4 linked regions of the Pelodiscus sinensis genome follow. The protein of the gene in region 4 interacts with the protein of the main gene of each other region in a pairwise test. Links are inferred from orthologs where the notes say so. Each region holds a gene or a part of one and is shown on either strand. Other genes may lie near its edges.

Evidence for each region.
Region 1: the proteins of BANP (region 4) and ZMIZ2 interact in binary tests that used the Homo sapiens proteins (3 or more experiments, as listed by UniProt). The two-hybrid records come from large-scale screens. The link is inferred for Pelodiscus sinensis from reciprocal best matches to the Homo sapiens genes BANP and ZMIZ2.
Region 2: the proteins of BANP (region 4) and FAM117B interact in binary tests that used the Homo sapiens proteins (3 or more experiments, as listed by UniProt). The two-hybrid records come from large-scale screens. The link is inferred for Pelodiscus sinensis from reciprocal best matches to the Homo sapiens genes BANP and FAM117B.
Region 3: the proteins of BANP (region 4) and POGZ interact in binary tests that used the Homo sapiens proteins (3 or more experiments, as listed by UniProt). The two-hybrid records come from large-scale screens. The link is inferred for Pelodiscus sinensis from reciprocal best matches to the Homo sapiens genes BANP and POGZ.

What each region holds. Positions count from the first base shown.
Region 1 is NC_134738.1:4,833,551-4,840,992, forward strand, and holds the start of ZMIZ2 (zinc finger MIZ domain-containing protein 2), read right to left. Parts: upstream 3,016-7,442; 5' UTR 2,787-3,015; intron 1-2,786. UniProt on the Homo sapiens protein: Increases ligand-dependent transcriptional activity of AR and other nuclear hormone receptors.
Region 2 is NC_134717.1:55,989,643-55,996,750, forward strand, and holds the start of FAM117B (protein FAM117B), read right to left. Parts: upstream 3,009-7,108; 5' UTR 2,965-3,008; coding exon 2,265-2,964; intron 1-2,264.
Region 3 is NC_134734.1:15,206,301-15,213,929, forward strand, and holds the start of POGZ (pogo transposable element with ZNF domain), read right to left. Parts: upstream 3,016-7,629; 5' UTR 2,753-3,015; intron 1-2,752. UniProt on the Homo sapiens protein: Plays a role in mitotic cell cycle progression and is involved in kinetochore assembly and mitotic sister chromatid cohesion.
Region 4 is NC_134722.1:5,025,783-5,033,761, forward strand, and holds the start of BANP (protein BANP), read right to left. Parts: upstream 3,001-7,979; 5' UTR 2,840-3,000; intron 1-2,839. UniProt on the Homo sapiens protein: Controls V(D)J recombination during T-cell development by repressing T-cell receptor (TCR) beta enhancer function. Binds to scaffold/matrix attachment region beta (S/MARbeta), an ATC-rich DNA sequence located upstream of the TCR beta enhancer.

The sequences.
Region 1 (7,442 bases), on a different chromosome or scaffold from region 4:
CGCCAAGCCCTTGACAGCCAGTGAAGTGCAGGCCCCCGACGCCCAGCCCAGGGGGTCAGTGGACTGCAGAAGCCAAACCGTGAGCCCCCCGACTAACCGCTCAAGAGCCGGGCTCTGGGTCCGTGCTCAGAGGTTCCAGCCAGTCCCGCCCGCTCAGCGGCTGGTAACTTTTCAGTTCTCGCTCAGTGGTTGCTTCGCCGGTCTCCAGCCAGGGCAATCCAGCAGTGCCCTGGGGACGGGCCCCGGGGCCACCTTCCCTCCCCCTGCTAATGGCAGCGCTACGGTCCCAGGGCTCATCCAGCCCCTCTGCCTTGGGAGCTCTGCCGCTCGCTGGCTGCCCAGCCGGCCCCCTGCGCTGGGGGTCTCTGGCAAAGGGCAGCGAAACAAGCCCCAGGCTGATGGACCGTGGGAGCCGGACTGCCCGGGAATCCAGCTGCTAAGCAGCTCGGGGCCTGGCCCAGGCTGCTCTCAGGTGCGGCTCAGCGAAGGTCTGGGCCTGTCCTGCGCTTGCCCCCCCGGGGCCAGGTGCCGCTGCCCGCCTGCCCTCCGAGCCCCGGGACCGCCCGTCTCCTCGGAGGTGGCTGCAGGTTCCCTGGCTCGCCAGGGCCCCGAGTGAGATTCACAACAGGTGGGCTCAGCCACAGCTGGGTGGGTGCGTCACACAGTCCTCTGCCCCCCCACTGGCCCTTGGCTGAACCCACACGCTGCTTCCCCCCTGCCAACCGGGTCGCCATGGAGGCAACACAACCTGACCTTCCAGGCCACTCGCCCGGCCCGCCCAGCGTTATGTAAGTGGGTGGGTGGGTGGAGGAGCCTCTGCTTAACCCAGTTACCCAGTGAACTATTTCCAAGGCGCCCTGAGCCGACACGCCAGCGGAGAACCTGCCAGGACAGCGGGCACCGCACCCAGCGGGGGAGGGCGGAGACAGAGCCAGCTGCTGCCCTGGCAACAGTGGGACGGCGGGCAGAGTTTCATCCGAGGGGGGTTTGCATCGCCCGCCCCCCGGGGGTCGGGGCCTCCGAAGAAAGCACAAGGCTGGGGGGCCTGGCGTGAGCTCTCCTCCCCGGAGCTCCCCAGCCTCCTGGCTTTGCCCCTCACGAGTGCACCCCAGGGGCCACATCCGCCTTCCTGCAGCCACCAGGCATCCAGGGCATTTCTGGGGGCCCTGAAGCCGACACGAGTGGCCGGCGCTGCCGAGTCCAGGCTGGGGATGGAAAGCCCCCCCGGGACAAGAGGGAAGCCACAGGAGTCCCTCGAAACAGGGAGGGGATGTTCTCCCCGGCACTGGGAGGTGCTGAGCCCCGCCCCCACAGCACCTCTGGCTTCCAGCACCAGCGTGTCCAAAGCAGCTAGTCCCGGGGCAGCGTCCAGAGTCCCCGGAACGGGAGCCCATTCACAGCAGCAGGGCACGAACTCGCCCTGCCCCACGTCTCCGTGGGCCAGCACGGCCAGGCCTTCGGAAACTGGGGAGCCGAGTCACAGCAGCCCCTCCCCATCCCAGTGCAAACCAACCAGCCTTCCACAAGGTCACGCTGCCGCGCCCCGGGCTGGCGTCAAAGTGACAGGAATGGGCAGTGAGGCGGGAGACTCCAGACAGGCCACGTGCAGAGGGCAAGTCCGCAGGAGGACGAGGGAGGGAGGGATTTAGGGCTGGTCCTAACAAACCGGGCAGAGGGACAGGGGGCCTGGCCAGGGGGTCCCAGTGGGCGACAAGGAATGGCCCTGCTCTGGGCACACCAGGGGAGGCCGGATACCAAACTTCAGCCCTTCCAGCTCCCCAGATGCTCAGAACCAGCTGGCCCCACCCCGGAGCCCCCCACCCACCTCCTGGCCTGGCTCCCTGCTGGAAAACACACTGCACCGAAGCCAGCCCAGCGCCGGCTGCAGCCACCAAAGCCTCCCCAGCGAGCGGCTGACAACCGGGGGCTGCTGCCCACAGCACTTCCGAGTCGTGGCCAGTTTTAGGCAGTGGCAGCACGACACCACCGGGCAGGGAGCTGCGGTGCACGTGGATCGCCTGTCCGCGAACACGGGGGGGCCCGGCGGCTCCCGGCCTGCGCGCTCGCAGCCGCCAGTCAAGGTAAGACACCCCAGCGGGCCCCCCCGGCCAGCCAAGCCAGCAGCGGGGGGGGGGGGGGTCACAGCGTGGCACAGCCCCCGCCCCCCGCCCGGCTCACAGGGCTGGATCTGCAGCGGCCAGTCCTAGGAGGGCTCCGGCCCCCCCCCCGCCAGCCAGGCAGAAAGGCCCGGGCCCAGAGGCCAGGCTCGCCCTGCCCCCGCGGAGACACTGTCCAGGGCCTGAAACCGGCTGGAACAGCCCGAGCGCCGCTCCAGACCCCCCCGCACTCGCAGCCGGCCGGGCCCGCACGGGAAAGCCCCCCCGGCAGCAGCCCGGGCTGGAAACCCCCCAGCCCGCCCCCACGCAGCCCCGCGCGTGAATTCCCGGCACCCGGGGCAGCGCCAGCCCCCGCGCCCCGCCGCGCCCGGGGGGGGGGGGGGGAAACGGGGCGACCCCGCTCCCCCCGCCCCGCACCGACCCGCCCCGCCCAGGGCATCCGCGCTGTTGCCATGGAAACCCCCTTTCCCGGGCAACCCGCACCCGAAGTCCGGCGCGGGCAGCAGCGTCGCGCCCCGGCGCACAAAGCCCCAACCCCGGCAGCGCCCCCGGGCACAAAGCGGCGGCGCGAGCCAGACCCCCCCGCCCGACGCGCCGGCCCCGGGGGGCGCCCCCCCCGCCCGAGGGCCCCCCCGCCGCGGAGCGCCCTGCCCCCCCGCGCGCACCTACCTTCCAAGGGGACCGACCGGCCCTTCCCGTCCTCGCCTGGCTCGGGGCGCGGCGCAGCCGGGGGGTCACTGGGGCTGCGGGCGCGGCTCCATGGCGGGGGTGCAGCTAACAAAGCCCGGGCTCCGCGGCCCCTCCGCGCCCTGCCGCCGCCGCCTGAGCCACCGCGGGGCGAGTGAGCCGCTGCGCGCAGCTCCCCACCTCCATCCTGCCGCCCGCCCCGCGCCAATTGCACAATAGCGCCCCGGCGGCCTCATCAATATTCATGGCCCGCCCCCCCCCGCCAGGCCAGAGCAATGGAGCTCCTATCCGGAGGCGGGGGGGGGGGAGCTGCAGCCTCCCCCCCCCCCCCCACCACCGCCCCCGCCCGCGCCCGCGCACGCACGCCCGGGGTGGGAAAGGCAGACAAAGGGCTCCGCTCCCTGGCCAGGCTGGGCGCGCGGCGCGGGGCTTCCAGGCGCAGGGAAAGGGGGGACCCCGCCCCCCACTGGCCGTGCCCGCTGGGCAGGGGCGCCCCTGTGGGGAGGGCGCTGCCGTGGGGCTCAGCACGTGGGCGCAGGATCATCCCGCCTGGCCCGCTTGTGCGCCCGGCTCCCCGCCGCCCACCCGGCACCGCGACCTGCCGGGGAGGGGGCGCAGTGTCCCGGAGACACCAGGGGGGCAGGCCGCTCTGTCCCCCACCATCCCGGCACCGCGACCTGCCGGGGAGGGGGCGCAGTGTCCCGGAGACACCAGGGGGGCAGGCCGCTCTGTCCCCCACCATCCCGGCACCGCGACCTGCCGGGGAGGGGGCGCAGTGTCCCGGAGACACCAGGGGGGCAGGCCGCTCTGTCCCCCACCATCCCGGCACCGCGACCTGCCGGGGAGGGGGCGCAGTGTCCCGGAGACGCCGGGGGGGGGGGCACATCTGCCTCCCACCGCTGGGGGCGCAGTGTCCTAGAGAGACGTGGGGGGGGACACACACATCCGAGGCTATTCCCCCCACCTGATGTTTCACACCTGCTCCCTGGCCACCCGCTAGAAAGCTCCGGAGGGGCGTATGAACCCAACCAGCGTGGAGGGCCTGGCCTTGGCCCTTTTGGCTCCAGGGTGCCCAGGCTCGGGTCCTGGTGGCAGCCAAGAGAATATCCCCGCCAGCCCGGACGTGCCTTCCCCGACTCCGTTCCCCACCAGGGCCCCTTGCGCCATGCAGGCAAAACACCCCGGCCAGCAGCCCCGCACTGGACACTGCCCCACCAATCTGCCAAGCCCCCCCCCCCCTCCCCCAGCTGGACATGGTCCCCAGGGGAAAAGCTTTTATACATCAGCTCTGGAGGAGTGTTAGGAACCCGGCACCCCCCACCTGACCCCGAAACACCCCACGTTGGCCGAGCCCAGCTCCCGCCGTGCGCTACTATTGCAGCGTGGTCTCAGTGTGCGCGCCCCCACGGCCCGGCCCCCCTGCTGATCAGAGGCATGTTGGACGGAGCGGGGGGAGGAGCAGGTGCCTTCGGAGGAGACTTCCAAGGAGCCTGGAACCCCGGCAAGTTTGCATGCGACTGGGCCACAGTCCCCCTGGGGCCTACGGCAGCTCTGCTGGGGACCCTCCCCCTGCGCGGCCAGGCCAAAGGGGGCCATTTTCCCTCCGTTTTTAAACCAGTTCCTGTTCCTTCCTGACACTTCCTGAGTCTGGCTTTCCCCAGGACACGAGTTGGGGGTCTCCTGGGACCAGTCTGGTTTGTTTCATCGCCATCGTATTTTCAGCCATGCGGCCAAAGAGGTGGGAACATGCCCCCTCCTCCGTGCTGCTCAAGCGTGGAATGCAGGTTGGGGTAAGATTTCGGTGCCCTCTGTGTGCCAGCGCCTGAGCCTCCCCCCGTGCAGGGGCATCTTCCGTGTGAGTTGTAACAGGGCGAAGGGAACGGTGCCGGAGAGCCAGCCATGCGCCAGTGGGGCTCTCAGAGCGGGCCTTGGCTGAGCAGCCGTGGGACAGTGCACAGCACTTCCATGTGGTTTGCCAGTAGGGTTCAGAGTGAACGGGGATTGAGTCCCTGGGTAAATGCAGGCATGTGGCTTGGCAGGACGATGATATCAGCCTCTCCAGTCCCACCTTTATACTTCCTCTCCCTGCCTTTTCCGTTTGTTCCTCCCCTTCTCTTTCTCACTCCCTTCCTTGACTCCTGGGGGTTAGCAGCCACACCTGTTCCCAGGGGACAGCGCTGCTGCCTGTTGGCTCGGGAGCGGACACTCACCTAGGCCGAGCGCTCCAGATGTGGGGGCAGGGAATGTGATCTGCTAGGAGCCTGCAGCCCCCTTTGGCTGGGGGAGGAATGTAGCCCTAGCCCTTTGGACAGCCAGGCCTGGTAGGTGTCCAGGCACATCTGGAGCCAGTGCCCCACGCTGCGGAGATATAAAGGGGCTCTGGAAATCAGCAGGCTATTCCCGGCCCAAGGATGACCAGTGATGGTGAGGCCTAACCTGTGACTTTGGAGGCCTGGAGTTTATCTTGCTCTGCCACCGGCTTCCTGTGCAACCTTGGGCATATCACTTAACCCAGCATGCCATGGAAGTCAAGAGGCTGAGTCTCTTTTAGGATCTGAGCCTTGGTCTCCCTGGCCCCAACAGCACAACAGGGCTACTAGCTGTGCCCAGGGAGGTTATGAGGATAAACCTGTTAAAAAGCTGTGCGGTGCTCGTATCCTACAGTAAGAGGCTGCGCACCACTGGGGAACTTTCTGTGTGGATTCAGTGGGGGATTTTAAAGCAAATTGACCCAACTCTGCCCGTTACCATCAGTGCACACAGTCCTTCCGCTCCTCGGGTCCCAGCTCCAGCCCTCCCGGGGGAATTGCAGGGTCCGAGCCTAGCGAGTGCATGGTGAGCTACCAATAAAAGTTATTTTGTTTCATCCATGCTAATCTCGGTTTTCATTACAATCCTACCTGTCTGGCCAAGATCTTCCAGGGCCGTTTCAGTGCTTGCAGCCCAGGGTTAGCAGCCCGGGCTCCCGGATCAGCTCTTCCTCGGCCTCCTACTCAACTTAAAAGCAGGCCTTGCTGCTGTGCCTTGCCTCAGTTTCCCCATCTGTAATGTGGGGCTAAATGACACTGCCCAACTTTGAGATGTGTGGCACACAGGGGCAGGGAAAGGGCAGCAATTTTCTGGGTCCCTCCTGGGAGAGAAGAGAAGGGGGTCAGTTTGGGGTGCAGCCAAAGGGGATTTCTGGTCGCCAAGTCTGCTGGATGCGGATGGACCGGGGGGTTCTTCACCCCCAAACTGCCTAACCCAGGCTGTGCTGCCTAAGGTCACACACAGATTTTAAGGCCAGGAGGGGTCATAGATCAGGCCAGGAATTTCACGCCTTCATGAGGAGTTTGTGGCAGTCGATACTAGTCACCCGCCCAGGTACAAATCTGTGCTTCATTGCTAAGGGCATTGCGGGCCCCGCTCTCTGGTTTAAACAGCCCTTCTGCACCCAGTGTTTTCTCCCTCCGAGGGTGGGGTGTGTGCACAGCACCTGGTCCAGGACAGGGGCGCCTCGGTGCGAGGGCAGGGGCGAGCAATCATTTCTGGAGGGGAGCCACTTCACCAATTTTGGTAGTGGTGGTGGGCTGACCCCGGAAGGGGCGGGGCGTCACGTGGAAGGGCGAGGCCTCGGATGGAAGGGGCGGTTCCCTCTGGGTCTCAATTGGCCTGGGGATGGGGGCGTGGCAGGGCGGGCCATGGGCCAGATCAAACAGTTTGGCCCATGGGCCATATCTTGCCCACTCCTGTGCCAAGTCTGAATAATAACAATACTCACACCACAATCATGTCACAGGCCAGACAGACCCAGCCCTTCAATAACGTTTGTAACGCTTCTCTGCACCCTTTCTGGCTACGTCTACACAGCAGGCTTTTTATGCAAGAACAGCTGTTCTTGTGCAAAAACTTGCTGGGTGTCTACACTGCACACGTGTTCTTGCGCAAGTACAATTTACAGCCAGCGTCGCAAAACAGGGCTTCTTCCAGAAGAGTTATTCCTCCCTCCGTGAGGAATAAGCCCTCTTGCACAAGAGCTCTTCCACAAAAGGCCAGTGTAGGCAGGCAACATGAATTTCTTGTGCAAGAAATCCCTATGGCTAAAATGGCCATCAGAGCTTTCTTGTGCAAGAGAGCATCCACACTGCCATGGACACTCTGGTGCAAAAGCACATCTCTTGCACAAAAGCACATGGCAGTGTGGACGTTCTCTTGTGCAAGAACTTTTGCACAAGAACTCTTCATGCAAAACAGTTCTTGTGCAAGAAGCCTGCAGTGTAAACGTAGCCTCCAAGTTTCCAGCAGACCTAGGCAGAGTCTAGCTAAGTTCTAGAGTCCCCAGTCATAGGAAGGACCCTCACCTCCCCCTCGCCTCCATTTCTTCCACTCCTTCCAAGATTCTGGCCCTAAGAAATACAATCATGTATTTGAGATTCACTCCATTTCACCTTTAAAACAGAGACCTTCCCTATGGATTCCACTAAGTGGAATAAAACTCCTGTAGTAGTGAAGTTTTCCGCTACCATCAGTAGGTTTCAGAATCAACAGCCCTGTCAAACAGACACGGCAGTTGGAGTTACTGTGTCACACTGGCTGGAACGTTGCTCCTTCCCAGCTAGGAAGGGCTTTGCCTGCATGAAAGCTGAAATCCAGCTGTAG
Region 2 (7,108 bases), on a different chromosome or scaffold from region 4:
TGCGGGGCTGGAGTCTGTGCTCTGTCCCTGGACTCCGAACCTACAACTCAGCCATGTGGCACAACACAGCACCGAGCAGGTTTAAAATCCCAGGCCGTGACGTTACATCACATCCGGGCGTCTCCCCACCCACTGGTTTGAGCATGCTGTGCAAGGCAGCAGCAGCCAGCAAGGGGGAGCTCAGAGAAGGATGCGCACGGCAGGGACAGGACCAGGACAAGGACGGGGGAGAGATGCTCTGGGGCCGGGGTGGGAGGATGCGCGGAGGGAGGTGGGGTCAGGACCCGCTCCAGCTCCAAATATTGATGGAGCATGGGCACCACGAGCCCACACAACTCGCCGCCCATGCCTCTGCTGGCTAGCTGACTCTCTCTCTCTTTTTCAGAGCGGGCGGGAGAGTGCTGGCTCCTCGCGGAACTCCTAGTTTTGGTCCGCAGGACCCCAGGGTTCTAGTGTATCACACAGCTCCTGGTACTGAACTGAGATTAGCAGTCTACAGCAGTGGTTCAAAACCTTTTTTTAAGACAGATACCTGTAAACTTAAATAAACCTGCAGATCCCCTCCCAGAAGCGATAGATAGGGTAGTGGGAGGCACATGGAGTCATGTGTCCCCCACCTCCAGATTTCTACCTTCCTTTTGGCCCTGCTCCCTGAAGTGCTGATGTAGCAGGGCAGAACAGTGGTATCTCTCCTCTAGGGATGTGAATGACTAGCATTTGCTTATTGGATAGTCAACACACTAGGCAACTAGCAGAAAGAGGCAGTAAGGGTCCGGGGAGGGGGAAACAGTAGAGAGTGCCTCAAAGCAGCAGCACTGCATAGAGCCTGTGACCAAACCCTGGGCTCCACGTGGTGCTGCTGCTTTGAAACACCGTGTGCAGCCAAGGTTACATGCGGCGCTGCCGCTTAGAAATGCCGCTGGTAACACAGGGCCAGCAGGGGGCTGCTTGAGTTCCCTGCTAGCCCCATGCTCCCCACAGTGCTTTTGTCTTTGAAGTGTAGCAGCAGCCCTGGGACTGTGCTACACTTCAAAGGCTGAGGTACCTTTACTGACTAATCAAATAGTGGATGCAAATTGCATTGACCATTCAATTAACCAATTAATTTAAATTTAACATCCCTACTCTCTTCAGCTAGCTGATGCCTGCTCATGGAGTCAATGTCCAAGAAGCTATCCCTTCTTATTACAGGTGGAGCTCTGCAGTGATGCTGCCTTTTTTGGTTGCATCCCCTTAACCCAGAAAAGCTGCGCAGCCCAGAGGGGAATCAAGAAGAGGAGGTGGCAGGGCTCAAGCTCAGTCCTTGGTGAACCCCCTGAAATCTGTTCAGGGATCCAGAGGGGATCCTTGACCTCTCTAGCTGAGAACCAGAGCTCTACAGAAGTACTACATTTTTTCTCAGTTTCTTCTCCCTCTATGTTTTTTGCTCTCATGTGTAAATGCTAAGAGTATTAGAAGTCAGACAAGTCTGAGCGCATCCCTAACCTTTCCTCACCCTCCCAAATCATCTTTGCCCTCCAGAAATACTTGTTCTGACATAGCACTTTATGTACGTAAATTGGTGTTCAAAAAGTGAATCATGTCCCCCTCTGTCACCAAAGCAAAAATCATTATTCCCAAATTAGACAGACAGACATCACTCTGACTTGTTTACAAGACACTTATGTGAGTGGAGGAACCAGGCAAGAACACAGTGTCCTGTCAAGCCCATACTAACCAACAGTTCCCACTGCAGCAAGTGCCATGCTCAGCAGTTGGGTTAGAACATGCATTACTGCAAGGATATGTCTATACAGCAATTATAAAATCTATGGCTGGCTCATACCAGCGGATTCCCATGAGGGGTCCCAAGCGCCAGCCCAACCCCAAATGACTGCACCATAATAAACAAGCCCTTGGCCCAAGCCCTGAGTTGCTCGGCATGAGCCAGCTGCAGGTTTCCAATTGCAGTGTAAACATTCTCTGACAGAAACTTCCCCCTCGCCTCGGACGCAGGGCCGCCTCAGCCCAGCCACGCGAGGGAAGCGGTCGTGTCCCCCCCGCCGGGGCCGCGTCTCCTGCCTGTCTTAGCTAGGCAGGCTTTGCACCGCCACAACCCGCGTCCCCACTGCCCACGCCGCCACCGCCGTGCACCAGCCCGACTCCCCGGCCGCCTCTCCCATCCACACCGCATCGTGCCGCCGCCCGCGGCTGAGCGCAGGGCCAGCGAGGCAATGCCCCAGCGCCCCACGCTCGGGTCTCCAGCGACCCCCGCGCGCACTCACCTCTACAGACGGGGGAGCTGGGGCTTTTCCTCTCCGGGGAGCTCCTGCCCTGCTCCGGCGAGCGCCGCCGCTGGCGATGCCGGACCCTGCCAGCCAAGGCGGCCCCCTCCGGCAAGGGCGGCCCGGGGGAGAGCGCGGAGCTAGGCGGCGGGGGGGGCGGCGGCGGCGGCGGCGGGGGCGGCAGTTGCTGAAGGCGCGGAGGGCTGCCACGCGACGAGGCAGAGGCGGTTGAGCCGCTGCTGCCCCCTCCCCCCGGCGTCTGCGTGGCCACCGCGGGGCCGGCTCGCGCGCTGCTGCTGCCGCCGTTGGGGGGCGCTGCGCGCGTGGGGCTGGTGCTGCGCGAGGCAGGCGTCGCGCGAGAGAGACTCCCGCCTGAGGCGCTGGCTGCGCCGCCGCCGCTCCTCGTGGGGCTGCCATATTGCTGCTGCTGCTGCTGCTGCTTGAGCTGGAAGGGCACCGTGGCCCGCATGGGCTGCAGGCGACTGCTCGCTCCCCCGCCAGCCGCCCCGCCGCCCCCCAAGGCAGTAGCAGGGGTGGGGGAGCCATTGCGCCTCATGCGCGGGTGGGACATTGCGTGCCCGGCGGCTGGGCAGCCCGCGGACGGCTCCTCGAGGGGGGTGCAAACACCTCGCGCTCCCCTCCCCCTGCGGAAGGCCCCTCGCACAGCCACTAGCCGGCCCGCCTGCTCCGTGCGCTTCATCAACAATAGTGCCCCGAACGCCCTGCTCCGCCCTCCGTCGCCTGCCATTGGACACGCCTCAGCCGCGCTCGCGCCGCTACAGCGTCCTGATTGGCTGCAGGGCGCGCTCCTGAGTGGCCGGCTATTGGCTCTTCCAGAGGCACTGTCCTGCGTGCGCGTGCCCATGTCCCTGCACGCGCTCCAGCTCGGAGCGGGGACCGGTCCGTAGCGCCGCGAGTTGCAGCCAGTCCGCGCGACCCTGGCCGGGCCCCGCGCCTCGGCCTCGGCCTCATGCAGGAGACGCGGCAGCAGCTGCCCAGCCGAGGGGAGTGATACAGATGAACAGTGTCGCCGAGCCTGGCCTTTGCACACTCACCTGCCCCGTCCCACAGCTCCTGCACCAGTGTCACATTTCACAGCTGGGGTCCCTACACCCAGCTAGTTCAGAGCTCGGAGATACGGGATTGGCCTGTAGGAATTCGGGATATGATGTCCCCCACCTGTGACTAGGGATGTTAAAAAACAGTTAATTGATAGTCAAGTAATCTCATGAATTCTTACTGGTTAGTTGACTAGTGTCATAAGCATGCACCCAGAGAATTTTTTTAAAATGCACTTTGACCCCTCCCTCCATTAGCCACACTCTCTGACCCCTGTTAACCACGCCCCTGGCCCCCATTAGCCACGCCCCTGGAAAGTTAACCCTCTCTGGGCAAGATGGGCACATGACCAAAAGTAAAAAGTGTTATGTGACCCCTGACCCAAGGACTTTTCCCACCATCCTCCTACCAATAGGGATTAGTTTGGCCACCACCAATCGCCCCCCTCCCCCATGGAACTATCCTGCAATTGCATTAATCCAATGTGTGTGACATTAATTGGAGTGGAGAGGCTGGGGGGGAGGAAGTGTTCCCTCTAAGAGTTTCCTCCCATGAGCAGAATGAATTTTGTGTTGTGCACCAGTACTGAGTTCATGTGGCTTCTTTTGGATGTGCCATTGTGGCACCCAAGTTATTAATAGCTACCTTTCCCCTCTGCTTCCATGTCTCTTCCCATTGCTCCATCAACTCCCCTGGTGCCTGCTGCTCCCCACCCCTCATCCTCCTCTGCTGTCCTGACTCCTGCCCTTCTCACTGCCCTCAGCCTTCCTGAGACCTGCCCCCCCCTCCACCAGCCCTTCTCTCCCCCCTGTGCCCACTCCTCCAGTAGCCCCACTCTGATCATGTGAGCTACCCCTCCTCATCCCCTCATCTAACACCTCCCTCTACACACCTGCCCTGCCTCTCTCCTCTGGTGCTGGTTCCTCCCCTGCAGGTGTCTGCCCTTCTGCTTCACCCCCAGAATCCACTGACACCTGCACCTTCCCTTAGCCCTGCACCCTCCTGGTGCCTCCCCCTTCCCTCACTGCCCTGCCTCCTTTGCCCTTTTTTCCCTGATGCCCATCCCCTCACCTCCCTCTGCTCCCGTTCTCCTCATGCCCCTGTGCCCTCACACATGACTTGCTCCAACCCCACCTTCCTCATGCCCACCCCTTCTTTCTAGCCTTCTCCCAGCACCTCCCCCTCCAATCCCCAATGCCCTTACCCTCTCCTCTTCCAGCATCACCCTGTCCCCCTCCCACTGACACCTCCCCTCCTGCCCTTTTCCTCATTGTCTCCACTTCCCCCCTAGCATTTGTGTCTCCTCTACCTTGCCCCTTTGGTGCCTTCCCCTTTCTTCCCCCTCTCTCCTCCCCCTCAGTACAAGCCCCTTCCACTCCTTCCCCTTTCTTCTTCCTCCACTCTACCCCACTGCAAAACCCCTTCCTCTCCCACTCCTTCCTCTTATACTCCTCCCGCCCCTTACCTTCAGCTTCTGCCTTACAGCTTGCAGTGCTGGAGTCAGAGCCATCCCAAGCTGCATGGCCAGGGAGGGGCACCCCCGGGGCACTGTATGGTGCTGCCAGGCCGGGCGGGGCTGCTTCCAGGTGCCTCAAGGGCACCGCACTGTGCTGCCATGCTGGGCGGGGGTGTTCCCGGGCGCCTCAGGGGTGCCGTGTTGTGCTGCTGGGCCATGCGGTGCTGCCGGGCCGGGTGGGGCCCAGGGCGCAAAAATGGCTTGGGCTAGCCGGCCCGAGACATTAGGGTGTGCCTGGGCACACACTGCATACCCCATGCACATGCCTATGACTAGTGTATGGTCCCCAGGGGTGGGTCCAGCAGCTAGTGTGCTATGGCCCCACTCTGAGGAGCCCGCTGCCTTTCCTTGTTGCTGCCTCTATATTAGAGGCAGCAGTGCAGGGTGCCTGGCAGGAGCTGGTCCATGAGAGCAGCCAGTTTAAATACTTCCTCCCCTCGCAGACCGGCTGCCTGTCGCCCTGTGTTGCTGCCTCTGATAAAAAAGCAGTAGCATGGGGTGGCAGCAGCCCATCTTGGGGGGGGAGGAGTCTGAGCTCCCAGACCCAGTATAAGCCAAAGCTGAGCTGGGCTGCCTAGCCACTCAGCTCCTAATTCACTTTAAATACAGAGTCACAGCAGGGGTAGGTCCCAGACCGGTCACAAGCCAGGACTGAGATGGGCTGCTGGCCAGTCTGCTAAAAAAAATTTACTGGCAAAGGTGGGAGGGGAGGGGTGAAGAGGGAGAGAAATGCATGTAGTCTATAGCATTAACCTATAAGCTGCTTATAGGTTAATTGGTTAATCAACTACACTATTATATCCCTACCCATGACCCAGTTAAACGTAATGTTTGAGCGGTTGACCATTTAAACCGGATTTTACATTCCTATTTAGGAGCTGGCTACCAAAGATCCTGGCTCTTTCCCCGTGCAACAGTCTAGCACACCTTTTTACACCCAAGATCACTTTTTAAATGACAGACCAAGCCAAGATCTACCACCTTGCCCCTTCCTTGAAGTCCCGCCCTCTCTATTCTCCTCCTCTCCATCACTTGCTATCCCCAATTCTTATACTGCTGCTTTTTTAAAAAAAATTCTTATGTAGGAAGAGGTTTTTCCAACATTTGGCCTGTCTAAACTGGACCAAATGTCAGAAAAAAACCCTTCTTTTGGAAGCCCCCTTATTCCTTGTGGAAAGAGGAATATAGGGGTGACCGAAAGAGCATGTTTGCTCTTCCGCTAAAAAAGTGGAAGAACAAACGCAACCCTGGATGAAGAAGAGTTTTTCTGGGATATCTCCAGAATCCTGAAAAACTCCTGCAGTCTAGCCGGACCCTCGCTGGGTTGAGTCTCTGGGGTGGGAATGAGGGATTTGGGTGTGGGAAGGGATGGAGGTGCAAGCTCTAGGAGGAAATCTGGATGCAGGAGGAGGTGGAGAAGGGGACACTGGCTCGGGGAGGGGGCAGTGTTGGGGTACTAAGCAAGCCCCAGGCTTGTGGATGCAAGGGTGCAGGAATTTGGGTTGGAGTATGTGAGGGGCTCAGGGCAGGGGGTTCACTGGAAGGCTCAGCTCTAGGGTCTGGGGAAGGGGGAATGCAGGAGTGGTTGTGCCCAGATGGGGACTCGGCCCCAATTGGGGGTTTGTTGGCCAGGCTTCATTTTTAAATAAAATACTATGTCAAACACAAAAAGTTTCTGCATTGTCTTTATGAGAATGGCAGGGAACCTGCCTTGAGTCAGGTGTCACTGACACATAGAAAACTCATTCGGGAGCAGGGGACACAGTACTGGGGAGGGGTGCTAGTAGGTTCTGGGGGCAGGGAACAGGGTGCCAGTGGAGGCAGGGGACAGGGGACAAGGTGCCAGTGAGGGACAGGTTTCTGAAGCAGGGGACAGGGTGCTGCGGGGGGACAGGTTTCTGCAGAGGGGAGCAGGCTGCCGAAGGGAACTGGTTTCTGCAGGGTGGGCAGGGTGCCAGGGGGGCAGATTTCCGCAAAGGAGGGGCAGGGGAGAGAGAACGGGGGCAGGAGGGCAGGGGACAGGCTTAGGGCGGGGGATAGAGAACAAGGTTCGGGGGCAGGGAGTCCCCTACACCAGCCACGGACGGAAGGCTCCATCCCACGCTCCCTCCGGGGACGACCCTCCTCCCTCCCACCCCCCACTACGGAAGGAAGCCCCGTTGAGCGCCTCTGCCGGGTCTGACCCCCCCCCCCCCCAGCAGGGAAGCCCTCAGGGGCGAACCCCTCCCCATGCACGCCTGCCCCGGGGCCGAAACACCCCCCTCTTCCC
Region 3 (7,629 bases), on a different chromosome or scaffold from region 4:
AAGAGCCATCAACCCCTGGCAGGGGAGGCCGATTGGCATGGGGGCGGAGGAGAGGCAGGGCATCTGCAGGTCAGATCTGGCCCACAGAGGCTCTCTTGCCCACCTCTGGTCTAGAGCAAGGCAAATTTATTTTTCATTGGCTGAGGTGGTTCATTTCAGTTCACTGGCTATCAGGATTACTTTAAAGCAAGGGCGGGAAACCTTTTTTGGGTCAGGGGCCGCTAACCCACAGAAAAATCATTCGGGGGCCACACATAAGTGAGAAGCAAAGAAAAAAAACATGACTGATGAGGAAGCTCCTCACATTCCCCTTGCACCCCAGAGGTTAGAGGGGCCCAAGCTAGTAGAGTTTATGTGCTCCAGCCCTGTGGGGGGATTGCAAGGGAACTGAAGCACCAGCATGGGCTCCCCAATGCTGAGAGGAGCCCTGAACCCCAGGGGCTGGATCCAGACGGGCCAGGGCTGCATCCTGCCCCTGCGCCTGAGGTTCTCTACCCCTGCTTTAGCGAGTATATTAAAATGTCTACAAATGTTATCACTTTGGGTTGCTACATGTTTTATTAAAGATTTTTCAGTGCATAATACCTATTAATTAAAATGTATTACTGCATGTTAAATTATCTGCTCTTACATTGTGAGCTGCAAATGAAAAAAACGTGTTTAACTTGCTTTCTGTTATACATGTGCACCTAGACTAGCATTATAATATTGGGATTTCATAGAAGAGATCCGGGGTATGGGAGAATCTTCCTGGGAGACTGGGCCTGCCCATGAGCTTCAAGTTCTTGTAACATACTCATCACTTTTGGCACTGATCTTGCAAATGACTGTGCAGGAGGAGCCTGCCTTCCCCACAAAGCTCTTTGTGGATTCAGGGGTCTAGTTATATGGACCCAGAGTCTGAGCATTTGTGATGCTCATATATACCAACAATGCATCCATACATACACACATGCAAGTATATATGGGGAAAAACAAAGACAGTGGATAGCAGGATTTGAAATGAAGAAGGGCCATTAGTTTCAAATGCCTGCAGGATGTCCCCCAAAAGGAGCAGCAGGCCTGTGAGAAAAATTAACTTGATGAAGACTGGTGATAGCAACTGCTGCCAAGTTCATAAAGCAGAGAGCTTGGTGTTGGTGCACATGGGATGTTCATGTCTGTACCTAATCCCCACATATTCTTCATGCTAGAACCCAGCAAAACAGAGTAAACAGAGGGCAAGTTAAAAAGTGCCCTAATATCAGGTGTCCAATGTTTCTCAGACATCCACTCTGAAAGGGGGAAAATAGTAGGCAAGCAAAAGGGGAGTCGCTCCCTCCAAGCAGCGGGGAAGCCATGGCTTCACCTTGCACTGGGAGGAATGGCAAGCACGTTCTGGGGACCTCCAGGTTCACTGAGATGTCAGGCACAGGGAAGTCACACTCACCTCATAGACAGAAGCTGCTGGCACGCTAAGGAAACTCCCTCCCACTCTGGGGAGCAGCCAGGGCCAGCTTGAGCCATTTCTGCGCCCCAGGCAGCGGGCATGCAATGCATGTGTGACTCTGCCCCCGGGCGCATGGCGCATCGTACAGCTGCAATCGGGTGTGCAGCGCCTGATTGCAGCTCTAAGGGGCGGTGTGGCCCACAGCCCCGGGCATGTGGCGTCTGATGGCAGCTCTAAGGGGCGCCACGCACACAGCACCCCTTACAGCTGCCATCAGGTGCCCCGGGCAACTGCCCAGCTAACTCCCCCCCCTTAATCCGGCCCTAGGAGCAGCAAGTATGCCAAGGGCAACTCCCCCCTCCCCCATTAAGGCAGTACCCTCTGGGAGTGACAGCCATGCCAATCAACTCCTCCTTTCTCTGAGGAGAGCAGCAGGCAGCCCAAAGGGATCATTGGGGTGTGTAGGCAAAAAATGGGGCTCACTGTGGAGGTCGGGGGGGAGGGAGCAGCAGGAAGGCCAAAAGCCCCCCTCACTCTCAGATGGGCAATGAGGTGGACTCCCCCTCGCGTTCATTTTCATGAAAGAGGATGGAGATAACACCTTTCCCACAGGAGTAAAAACAGGCTAGTTTCCATTTACTGTGGCTGCTTTGGAAGAAAGGTAGAGAAAATAATCCCTGTGCCCAACATGGCCGCCCACCCAGCAGCAGCCCTTGGAAAGGGGTGGGAGCAAGGAGACAGAAAAAATGCGATCCTGCTCCCCGCAGGGCCGGGCACCCAGCAGGAGGGTAGCGTGGGAGGCACTTTGCGACAGCTCAGGGGTTGCTCTGTGCAGGGTTTAACCCCGTTATGTTCGTCTCCAGTCGAGGGAGGGAGGTGAAGCGGAGGGAGCAGCCAAAGCCGCCTCACTCCTCCCCCTCAGCGAGAGGAGGGGGTATGCGGATCACTCCGCCTCCCCAGTCAGCGAAGGCGGGCGAGCGAGCGAGCAGATATTCCGCCGCCCAGCGGGAACAGCTCCTCCCCCCTCCCCTCAGCAACCCCGATCCCTCCCTCCCACACCGGAGCTCGCGCTCCCTCCTCCCTCCCCGCTCGGCGCGTCTGGCGGCCGCTTTGTGTACGGCGCGCGCTGCCCCCCCCCAACCCCCACCCGCTCCCAGACCCGGGCGGTTCGAACCGGTTCCAACGGCCACCGCCACCCGCATTCTTGTCGTGCGCGCGCGCCACGAACCTCTTCCTCCCGCCCCTTCGTATCGCCCCCCCCCCCGGTTGATTCTGCAGCGTCCGCCTCCCCCACCTCCACATAACGGACTCGCGCCAACTCACCTTTCTCTCCGTCTCCCGCCGCCGCCGCCTCCTCAGACGAGCTTGGCTCGCTCGCACACGCTCTTAAAGTGATACGCACCCCACACAACCTCTTACAGGGAGAAATGGCCGGGAGGGGAGGGTAGGTTGCATGAGCTCCCCCCCCAGTATTTTTGCCCCTCCTTCCCCCCAAAAAAAGCTGCAGGTTGATACACACAGAAAGAACCAACAGACACACACACACACACACAAAAAGGAGACCGGGCCGGCGGAGGGATACGGTGACGTCATTTCCTCCTCAGCTCCAACGCTGTCCTCTGATTGGTTGACTGGGGTGACATCACTGGGAGCCAAGCGCAGCCTACCTTGTCATGGGGAAGTTTGTCTGAGGCACAATTTTGGGGGGGATTCTCTGGGAGGGAGGCTGGTTACAGAAGGGGATTTTTTTCTTAGGTTGACCCCACTCCCACATGTCCAGAAATAGCTGAGAATAGGGAGAATTGGGAGGGAGGGACCCAAGGGGTAGCCAACGCCGCCTTTGAAGGGCCTGATGGCGAGCAGGTCTGCCAGGCTTGGACTACTTCATGGAGGCCAAATAGTCAATAGTCCAAGCCAGTTTCCAGTGTATCCTAACTTTTCCTACAGGTGACAAAGGGCATTTGGAGTCAGGACTTGAACCCGTCATCTGCAGTGAGTATTGGCTTTGGCGTGCCTAGCAACATGGCTGGGTCTCAAACCCATCACCTGCACCAGTTACTGGTAGGGTTGCCAGATGGTTTAAACAAAAATAGCGGACACACTTGAGATGACATCACAGTCTACATTACATCTTATTTAGAAAATACCGGACATTTATATTTTCTCATTTATATTTTTTCAATTTGTTTCCCAGACAGAAAGCTCAAATACTGAACTTTCCGATTCAAAACCGGACACCTGGCAACCCTAGTTACTGGCTTTGGCATGGTTAATAATATGGCTGAGTTTCAGCTCTACCATCTGCACCAGTTATTGGCTCGGCATGGCTAGCAGCGTGACTAGGTCTCAAACCCATTCCCTGCACTAGTTATTGGCTTTAGCATGGTTAATAATATGGCTGAATTTGAACCCACCACCTACACCAGTTATTGACTTGGCATAGTTAATGATATGGCTGAGTCTCCAACCTACCATCTGTATACGTTATTGGATTTGGCATGGTTAATTATATATGGCTAAGTCTCAAACCCACCATCTGCAACAGGTATTGACTTTGGCATGGTTACCGGTATGACTAGGTATCACAGTTTCCAGTTTCAGTGGGCATAGGTTTTGGAATCATTAGCAGTGTGACAAAGTCCCAAACCCATCTGCAACATAGTTCATTATATGGATAGGTCTCAAACCCAGTTGCTATGATAGGTATCAGCTTTGGCATTATTAGTGACATGGCTAGGTTTCAAATAGATAACCTGCAGTGAATACTGGCTTTGGTATAGTTAATAATACGGTTAGGTTTCAAACCCACCACCTGCAGAGTTGGTAAGCAAAATGGGTAAATCTGGAACCAAGCCCACCACCTGCAGTAGTTAATGGCTTTTGGGTGGTTTGCAATGTGGCTGGCACTAGAACGCCCCATCTGCAAGATACAATGTTATAATAATAATTTGTTATTTGTAACATGGTTGGGATTCAAACCTGCCACTGGCAACTTTTATCCTCCTCCCACCTACATTACTGGTGTAGCCACAGGATTCAAACCTATCACCCAAAACAGGTAAAGGTTCTTTGATGGCTAATGATGTGGTTGGGATTAGACTCTGGAGCCTCCAGAGGGTACAAGTTTTTTGTGGTTAGCAATGTGTCTGCAACTTCAAGGTACACTTGTAGCAAGTAACCCCTTTTGGTGATTCGTGACATGGCCAGAATCTGAACCACGTTTAGTCAATCAAGATAAAAAGTCATTATCAATAGCTATTTTGGGGACTCCGTGATAGGAGGTGTAGTTAAAAATATGGTCTTGTATACTCCCCATAAACACCATAACTCCATCAGTATTTGGCACTAATTTCTTTCCTCACTGGCAGTTTGAGCAGAGACCAAGGAATAAATGGACAATGGAAATTGAACTCCTTTGCTATCCTCCATGGGGAATTGTTGCAGGACAGAACTCAGGCACATTGACATGTGGATGAGGAAGTGTATAGGAAATCTGTAGATGCTGCCTAAGTGGATATACAAACCCTTTTGAGCAGGAATCTTAAGCACATGCCTATATTTGAGTATTAATCCCAAAATACTTATTGAGACAGCTCAGACATTAAAATTAGGCACTTTCTTAAGAATCTTACTAGATAGGCACCATAGACTTTTGATTTCCAGCAGACTTAATCAGTAGCTAAAATTCTCATAGAGACATAAAATGTTTTAAATCCTTAATAATCATAATCACATTTATAATTAATAGATACATTTAAAAATCATCAGTAATTTAATAAGCGCACACAGTTACAAAATGAATGACAGTATGCTTAATTGATAATAGATGTAACAGTAATCAAATCATATGCATTTTTCTTAATTATATATTAAACAGGTCATTGTTTTCCATGTATTAATACTGAAGAATAACGCATTATTAACATAATAATTATTTTGTATAATAGTAAAGAGTTCATTTATATATTTGTTAATCACTATTAATAAATAGCTATTCACATCTTCAATGAATGTTAAAAACATTATCTTAAGTTTTCTCACAATACTCCTGTGAAGTTGTTGAATAATAGTCTGCCCAAATGGGCCAAGAGGTATTAACCCTGTTGCTAGCATGTTATTTATTATCCTGGAGTTTATTAAACATGTATGTTCATCCTCTGTAAAAGCACAATGAATTACCAGTCATTTTTACCAGCTCACACTATGCATCAGATTAATCAACCACTTATTGATAGGAAGTGTTTGCATATAACCTGTGTATCACTTCTCTGCAATTTAAAGTTCCAAATTTCTGCTGGGGTATTTCCATTGGTGTCAACAATAGTAGTAATGTGCATTTGTTTGTTTATTTGTGCTGCAGTAGCACCAAGAAATGCCAGTCATGGTCCTTCCCCCCACTAAGTTATGTGATGTAGAAAAGAATCATTTCATGAAAGGCCAGCAATTTTCATTTGCTTTTTCCATGAACATTTCCTGGAACTAGCTGCATGAAGAGTGAAATATTTAGGAATCAAAAATTAAAAATACTTCCTTTAAGTTAATTATTATCATTGCTAGTCTACACTTAGAAATGAAAATGTTAATAAAAATGGATCAACATGGAATTCAGATATTATTAAAACAGAATTAAAAATGACAAATAACAATAAGTGGTAACTACTTAAAAATCAACATCACACCAGCAGAATTGATTTGTCTATTGCATTTACAATATTTCTTAGAATAGAAAACAGTAGGATTCACTATGACCTCTCTCTTAAACCAAAGTATACAATTAAAATATCAAATTAAAGATCAGCCTAAAAATCTGGACAAAAAAGAAACAGAGGATTTAATTGTATTAAACCACCTCATTACTGGCAAGTTGTTTAAAACTGTATGATGGGTATACGTGAAACAAAAGGGAAGCCAATGCCACTTTAGGTAATGCATCAAATCTAAGATTTCCTGTTTGCCTCTGTGCTGCACAGTAGGCTGCTCAGAAATTCACCATGATAGTAGAGTTAGGATTCAGATTTTCATGCTCCAAAAGCTCAAACATCTGTCGCTTAGAATGAGGGAGAATCTTTTTCAACTATTATCTGTGTAGGGGTTATAACATACAACTGATGACTCCTGATTATTCAGCACAGAACAAATAGCACACAAACACTGTTAATTTATATCAGAGGGGTAGCCGTGTTAGTCTGAATCTGCACAAACAACGAGAAGTCCTGTGGCACCTTATAGACTAACAAATTTATTGGAGCATAAGCTTTCATGAGCAAAGACCCACTTCGTCAGATGCCTTATTTTGTTGAATTCACGCATCTGACGAAGTGGGTCTTTGCCCATGAAAATTATGCTCCAATAAATCTGTTAGTCTGTAAGGTACCACAGGTCTTCTCGTTGTTTATACTGTTAATTTAGGCATAGTGTCGATTTTGGATTTAGGACCTACTAAAAAATAAAATGACCCAGTAGACTTACTATTAAATGTATCAATTTCTTAAGAAAAAAATTAACTATTTCTCTTAGAAGTCACAGAAGGGTAGCCTAGTTAGTCTGTAACCTATAAAAAAAAAGTAGTTCAGTAGCACCTTTCTTAGAGTTGGTCTTCATAGAAAGATGTGTGAAAGCAAGGTCCAGGTGTGTCAAGTAACCTTGACCTTACTATGACATTGCTAGCATGGGTGCATTGTAATGCCTTTTAATACAATCGAGCAGGTTGAGATAGACACCCCAAACTAAACTTGACATATTTGTCTAATGTACTCTAGTCCTTAAATTATGGTTTAGCAAAAGTATGAGTGACACAGCAGAGATTAATTAATACATCAAACTAGCTGTTCCAAAGATAGTAAATTGGAGCATTGTGTTTAGCTTCTGCAGTCTGCCAGTTTTCCTGGATGCCTGCCATGTCGGGTTTTTGCCATGAGTCTAAAATTGGAACCACCTGCAGTTTGGTTGGTGTCAAGGCAAGAACTTAAAAGGTTTCAGCATGTGGTTTCCTAACCACTGAAAAAGTCATTGTAAGTGTGTAGTATAGCTTGAAATGGAACAACAGACAGCTTTGCTACATCAGTTGACAATTTTTTTCCACAACATATAGTCTAGGGCTGACTGGAAGGATCAGTAAAAAGGTCCACAGATCTGAATTTGACACGTGGGATTATTATGATTTTGTTATTTGGATTCAACAAATTTATTGAACACATCAG
Region 4 (7,979 bases):
TTTAAACAACAAAAAAATATTTGGCTGGTAGGTTTCTATATATTCCTGTGACAATACTGCATTGGTTGGCCTGGTAGATTCACTATATTCCAAAAACTTGCAGAATGTTTTTGTAGTGTTACTTTTGTGTGTGCTTCTGTGTGTGCAGACAAATTCCCATCTCCACCCAATATTAAAAACAAATGGTTGTCTTTAATCTGGGAAGTATCCTTCTATACATTTCTTATGTGAACCACCAAAATTCCAACTTAAACAATATCTCGGTAAAAAATATTAGAGTCTGGAAGTTGTAATAAAGAGATGAGAATACACTCGTTCTGTGAATTCATCTCATTTGTTTTCATGTGACCATAAAACGGGTAGAAAAAACCTACAACTTGCCTATGTAAATCATTGCAATTTGGTTAATGTAGACTGAAGCTACACAGCACTCATTGTAGAATCATGATCTTAATCAGGACAACCTTGAATACTCTTCTTATACATTTAATCTTTCCTTAGCTAATTAGTGGAAATCAGTAAAAACATCTTTTGTGCCACAGAAAAGTCTTATTTTTGTCCAGGGAACCTAAGTACTGGACTATTTCAAACAAATTGTTTAGAAGAAATTACACTAGTTGAATCCTAATCATATATAATATCAGACAGCAGAATGTCCAGTGGAATAGCGTGATACTATTAGGCATTAACATAACTAATCTCTTCAAGAGCCTTACAATTTTAGGCCTGGCTGGTGCCACTTGATGAATTAAATGTGACAGGATCTCAAAGATGTTAACCTACAAGTTACCATAAATAAGATTTTGGGACAAATCAAAACACAAAATGTGCAAAAGACTTTCTGAAAGAGAGGATGTTTACATCTATGAAAACTAAATTCAATGTTTTAAGTGCTCTAACAATTTATCGAGTTTTTCCTATCTGACATCATTGAATGTATTATTGCAAATAGAATTAGTAAGTTAAAATACAGAGTGATGTACTTACTGAAGTTGACTACAGGGTTTCATGATCAATTAGAACTATTGATAGATTTTATACAACATTCATTTAACATCTATTTAAATGAATTAATGTTTTATTCAAAGAAAATAAAGGGAAACTCAAGTTGCAGTGTTCAAGACTTAAAAATAGTTTCAAGTACCATTCTTCCCCTGCACATTTTGATGGTTTTACAGACACATTTAAAGTGTTTCTCTATAAAAACTACAAAAAAGAAACTGTATTTAAACTGAAACTAACTATACAGAAAGGAAGGTTAAACAAAGTTAACTGGAGAAGTAGCAAACAAAATGCTCAAGCTTTCCCTTGTATTACTAGGAATTATCAGTAAAAATAGCAGGCAAAACTTTTTCAGAAAACGAAGGGTTGTTTTTTTTTCAGTTTCCAAATGCCCATTTAAATAGGTGCTTCTTTTAAAAGAACAAAATTCTTCTCTTGGGAATACTAAAAATAAATGACTATATAAATTATAAAGCCCCCTAGTAAAATTTGGTTATAAGTTTAGTACTGTTCACCATATAAGGAGGGAAAAAAATCTTTAAAAACATGTTAATATTCCAAAGACAAGAGGACAAAACATCTGATGGCTAAGTGCACACTGGTTCAGAAAGTATCAATTCAAAAGAATTGCACTTGCAAATAATGGCATGAAAAAAATTGGCATGTACTTCGTTATGTATCTGTTTCTGTTATTTCCACTCCAACTCATCTGATGAAGTGAGCCTTTCCCACAAGACATGCATCTGACGAAGTGGGTCTTTGCCCACAAAGCTTATGCTCCAACACTTCAGTTAGTCTATAAGGTGCCACAGGACTCCTCGCCGCTTTTCCCACAAGAGCTCATGAGCCTATATGGTTTTGTTAGTCTCTAACATACCACAGGACAACTTGCTTTTCAAGTTACAAACTAATACAGCTACCCCCTCTAAGATCCACTATATCATTTGTGCAATCAGCTGTCAGTACGTCTAAGCCCCAACCTCTTTCCATTTACAAAAGTACACAAGTGACACTTGGGGCGAAGAAAAGGGGGGCGAACAGCCTCTCAATTTTTATTTACAATCCATTTTGAGCGTAGAAGGTGCCCCTGGAGGAAAAAAAAAGTGTCCCTTCCCAAAAAACTCACCATGTAGTGTATGTGCTATGCTGGGGTGGAGGGGAAAGGAATTACATCTGCCTCACCAGCCCTTTTGATAAGAGTATCGCAACCACAGAGCGGCTCCCTCAAGATTGTGATACCCATGGGAGAATAAATGTAGGGTGCCCCCCATGCTAGCCTTGCAGCCATGGACATAGTGGGACTGAGGACTATGGTGGGGCAGCCCCCCCCCCGCGGGTAGTGCTACCCGTGGGGGAAGGAATAAAGTAGCGCAATCTCCCCTTAACGCTAGCCCTGCAACCACTGGGGGGGGGGTCTGAGCCCCACCCCTCCTAGGACTATAGTGGGACAGCACTGGGTTGGGCAGCGAACAGCCCCTCCCCCACAGTGCGGCGGGGGGGGAACGCAGAGACACCCCCCGCCAGAGCCCCACACGGGGGGGGGGAAGCCCCCCCCGCAGAGACCCCACCACAGTGCAGCCCCACGGGGCGGGGGCCTGTCCGCCGGGGCGAGGGGGGGGGAGTGGAGAGTCACCAGAGCCCACAGGCAGGAGGGGCGGGGGGAGAGCGCCCCCAGCTGGGGGAGAGCCCCCCCCGGCTGGGCCCCTCCCTGCGCCTCTCGCTCGCGGCCCGGTTGCTAGGCCAAGGCGGTGAGGAGCGGGGCAGCCGTGCCGCGCCCCGGCCCTCAGGCCCCAGAGAGGCCGGCCCCAGCCAGCCGGCCGCGGGGAGCCGCGGTTACCGTGTGTGGTGACGAATTCTCGTGGTGTTTGTCGAGCGGCTGCGATAATGGCGTCCTTCCTCGCGAGAGATCTCCGCGTCCTCACTGCGCAGGCGCTGCGCCGCCGCGCCGCTCCCGCTCCTTCCCTCGCGCCCCGCCACCGCCCTCCTCGAGAGGCTCGCGCAGCCGCCTAGAGAAGCCTCCCCGCAAACCGCCCTTAACCGCCGCAAGGCCGATGTTGACTACAACTCCCAGACGCCCGTGCGCGAGGCCTGTGCTCCCAAGAGGCAGGCTGGGATGTGTAGTACCGTAGCGTGCCCCCGTGCCTGCTGGGAGTTGTAGTCCAAAAAGGCCCTGCGTTTTCTAGCCCCATTTTATGCCAGTGTGGTGTCACCCTTGGTAATTACACCCCCTCCTCTCACCACCACACTGAGTCACAGGCGGGCTTGTGTGTCTGGCTGTTGCTGGAAACGGACCATACCCATTTTTCTGGTTTGGATCTGGTATCATGGGCTATGTCTACACTGGCATGATTTCCCGGAAATGCTTTTAACGGAAAAGTTTTCCGTTAAAAGTATTTTTGGAAAAGCACGTCTAGATTGGCAGGATGCTTTTCCACAACAGCACTTTTTGCAGAAAAGCGTCCATGGCCAATCTAGACGCGGTTTTCCACAAAAAAGCCCTGATTGCCATTTTCACAATCGGGGCTTTTTTGCGGAAAATAGTACTGTGCTGTTTACACTGGCCTTTTTGCGCAAAAGTCTTTTGGAAAAAGACTTTTGCCCAAACAGGAGCAGCATAATATTTCCGGAAAAGCACTGACGATCTTATATGAGATCGACAGTGCTTTTCCAGAAATCCAAGCGGCCAGTGTAGACAGCTGGCAAGTTTTTCTGCAAAATCTAGACACAGCCATGGGGTTTTGCAAAACCCGGTCTTTGTGACACATACAGACCTCGTTTGTCTACAGATGGAATTGAACCTGACACCTCTGGAGCTCAGTGCATCTACTGCATGAGCTAAAAGTTAGCTTCTTTTTAGCAAAGGCTGTAGAGCAGACTGGTTATTCTTTCTGCAAGTGGTCTCAGTGTTGTTAGATGGTAATAAGAGATCTGGGGTTAGCAGCACTCAGTATGCCATGGTGACATAGAAAACTGGGACAATATGCTGCTTCCACAAGAGGATCCCGGAGTCACTGAGCAGCAGTAGCCCGGTAGAAGGGTATAGCACTTCAGCAGGCCTGCTCCCAATCCATATGGATTCTGCATATTAGAGACAGCAACAGGCAAGAATAGCTGTCAGAGTAGGGTGACCATATTTCCCTAAGCTGAGTATGGAACACCTGGTAACATTACTCATATTCAAGAGAGCTCAATGACAATCAATCAGAACCATGCAGTACAAATGTTCAAATTAACCTCAGGTTGACTGAGACCCTGTTAAAATGAAATACCACATAGCTAGAATCTTTTTACTTTCTTATTTTCAGGGTTTGCACAAGGAAAGTTGACATGCACACATTCCTGTACACTCCTCTCACACAGAGATGGGGGTAACTGACAGACCTGACCCAACCCTCCCTATCCAGTGCTCTCTACCCTTCACGCCTGGCTAGGCCTCCTGGGACAGATCCATCTCTCCTGGTACACCTTCTCAGGACAACATTTGGAGGCATGCAGGGTCACAGGTCCCCTCCCCAGATTTCTGTTGGAGTTCATACCAGAACATGGCAAAGAGCAGCCTTTCGTCACTGTGCAGGAGGGAAGGGAGGGGAGCTGCTTCCAGTTGAAGAGGAGAGAGAGTGGGGATGCCCTGGCTCATGTTTTTCCAGTGGTCATTTCTTCCCTCCCACCCTCTCCCCTATGGTTAGAAGCAGCTTGTCCCTTCCTGCCAGCACCATGTAGAAAGGCAACTGACACCTCCAAGCTGCTGCTGGTCACGGACACAGCCCCCAGTTGCCTCCTGTCCCTGGTGACAGCACAGACAGGAAGGGGTTAAGCCTTAAGGATGCCTTGCGCACCAGGATCCAGGAAACCTGGCTGCAGGGGCATCAGCCAACCTGGCCAGAGAGGGGGCTCAGCAGGGGAGAGTGCCCAGGGGACAAAGCAGCCCAGCACTCCCTAGGGACAGGACTTAGGGCATGTGAAGAGGCTGCTAAGCACCCTGCTTGGGGACCTGCAGGGATGAGGAACAAACAAGCTGGAAGCAGCTTCCTCCCTGCCACTCCAGAGCTTATCCAGGGAGCAGAGAAGCTTCCTCATGCCGGCGGTGTGAAGGGCTTTGGCGCATGAAGGTCTCGGCTCTTCCTGGGCAGTGCCTTAGGCCAGAGGATCTTGACCTTTCCCTGGGTGCAAGACCAGCCGGAGGCAGTGAGGGAAGCCAGGCTATTGGTAAGATGAATGATCTGACCAGGCAGTGGCTGGTTTTCTGCACAGTGCCGGGAGTGGGATGTGCCTCACCAGGAGGGAGATGTAGCAACAACAATGCGGGCGGGGGGGGGGGGGGGAGTGAACAGGCACAGCAGGGAGAGGACAGTGAGATGGGAAGCATGTAAATGGCCATTGGGTGGGCAGCAGAGGTGGCACGTAACTAGCCACTACCTGCCCATGTTCCTCAGCCACTGGAGCGAGCAGCCAGAGCTGGCTGGCAATAGGGCGGGGCAGCCTGCTGGCCAGGAGTTGGCATGCAGAAGGGACTCCATGGATGGACAAGTAGGAAGAACAACTAGCCACACATGCTGCAGCTTTAGCTGACCACGAGCCTCACACACTCAACTCCGTCGTCAGCCACTGGACCCCGTCCCATCCCCTCGCCTCCTCACTCACCACTGGTGGTTGGATGGCTAGTGAGCAAGGATACTGGCCAGTAGTAGAGCCAGTTGTGCCCTCTAAGCTTCACAGCTGATTAATCAGTCCCGCCCAGTCAGTCAGCTCTGTGCATGGAGCCCTAAGCCTTTGATTCGGCAGGGCTGATTAATCACCTGTGAAGCGATACAGCCTCACAACTTAGAGAAAACACTGAGTAGGACCCACCGGTACTGATGGGAGGAAGAGAAAGAAAATATAGGACAATTTGCTCATTTTTAAGAAAAAGTGGGGACACCTGCAGGAAGGCTTAAATATGGGACTGCCCCTTTAAAAATTGGGCAGCTGGTCAGTCTATGTGGGAGGTATCATGGGGAGTGCGGGGATCATGGAGCACCATAATCATGGGAAAAGAAGAAGCAAATAAACAGGGGGATCTGAGCGGATCTGCTTCCATGAGCAGGGATGACAGCCGCTGGCATCGTGCAACATTAACTACCCCAAAAGCAGCAGCACCACAACTACTAAAGTGTGATTGGAGCAGATCCTGAGGTGACAGGTCTAGTGGTGAGTTGAGGTAAAGAATTGATAAGATCACTGCCTTGAAGAGAAGGACCTAGAACCAGGGTGTAAGGCTGAGACTATGTTTTGCATTTAGAGACCATCTTCTTCTCCAGTAACTGTGTAGCACATAAACATGCCTAATGTAAAACAGCGGTGCATGAGAAGAGCCTTGAAGCTCACAGCCAGATTCTGAAATAGATGTCTTAGATGTCTCATTCCTTTTAGTTATTTTTCTCCTCCCTTGACATATCGGTTCCACTCATTTTGCACAGCCACTGACTCCCAAATCCATACAAGTTACAGCACTTTCCCCCACTATCCATATTTCTACCTATTTATACCACCGTTTATGTCATTGTTGAATTTGGCTCTAAAGCTAGCAAATGAGTTGAAATACCTTGCTGCATTTGGCTGATTGTGGCTCTGTCGTCCGGTGGATTGGGCCTGTAAGAAATATCTATGATCTCTTATTATTAAAAACAAAATGTGGCCACTAGGTGGTAAACTTAAACAACAAATAGTCTAGCAGCACCTTAGAGACTAACAAAAAATGTATATGGAATCATGAGCTTTTGTGGGTATAACCTTCTTCTAGGCACAGGCCCAGCTAAAAGTATATCAACTCCAGTAACGGTTTTTGGCTCAGTTTACTGGGGAGCATTATTTTAGATTTTTACAATAATCAGTGCCAATTTGCTTTTTTTTTTTTTAAATAAAGCTTTTATTAAGACAGTCTTTATATCCTTCTTGCCATCTCAATCCCCATTTCTCCATGTCCATAGTATTTACACAGCCAGAGAGGGATCCCTGCAGTGGATATGGGAAGGAGTGGTGGCAGATATAACAGGTGGAAGAGGTAACTTTATCCTCCCACTTCTTCCATGCCTCCACCCACCTCCTCTGATCTGGATTTTCATATATGAACTTGGGTCAAATTCCCATAAACTTCAACAGGAGTGAAAAATGAGTGAGACTTTCCAGATAATAATGGCATTCTTTATTTATATAGCGTGTCCTACCAGAAGATGTTTTAATATTCCCACACAGATGAGAATTCGGGATTTTTTATTTTAACTCAAAAATCCAAATTGTGGCCCACATTTTGTATTGCATATATGGTATAATATATATATATATATGCAAACTTTTATCTAAATTGCTATTAACATTATTTTCTCACAGAAGACATCTTTTTTGTTTTCTCTTTGTTTTAGCTTTCATCTGAAAAGAATTCCTGGAGAAATAGCTACTCTCACATCTCCCATATGGATCTCCATGTTTAGCCCATTCGTCAGTTTCCCTTTCTTGCTCTTAGAAAAATCACAAGGCCAAGCATACCATCAGAGGTAAAAAATTAACTCTCTGTGCACACAGTTTTGCAACTGTACTAGCATCAGGAGAACAAATGTTGCCAAAGAGACAGATGAGTTCTTCCAGGGCTTTAGTTTAAACAAGTGACAGGCATTCACAATTTGAACTCATTGGTGTTTGCAGATGAAAACTGAACAAAGGAGGAAAAAAGAGGAGATGTACAGATAATATGAGCAGCTACAGAACATAAGCTACAGTAGCTCTTTAAGGATGTTTTCTTTTACCATGCATAAAATCTGTGATTAGGTAATTTGCAGATAAGATTATATCAGTGTGACCTATATTTCGAGATTATTGTTTGAGCTAACTTTATTAAGTTTCTGGACAATAAATGTTACACACTGGAAGAAGCATACACATGGCTCTAGACACATTGTGCTATAGCAGTACATAGAATTGACATACAATGCCAGTTAAAAGAA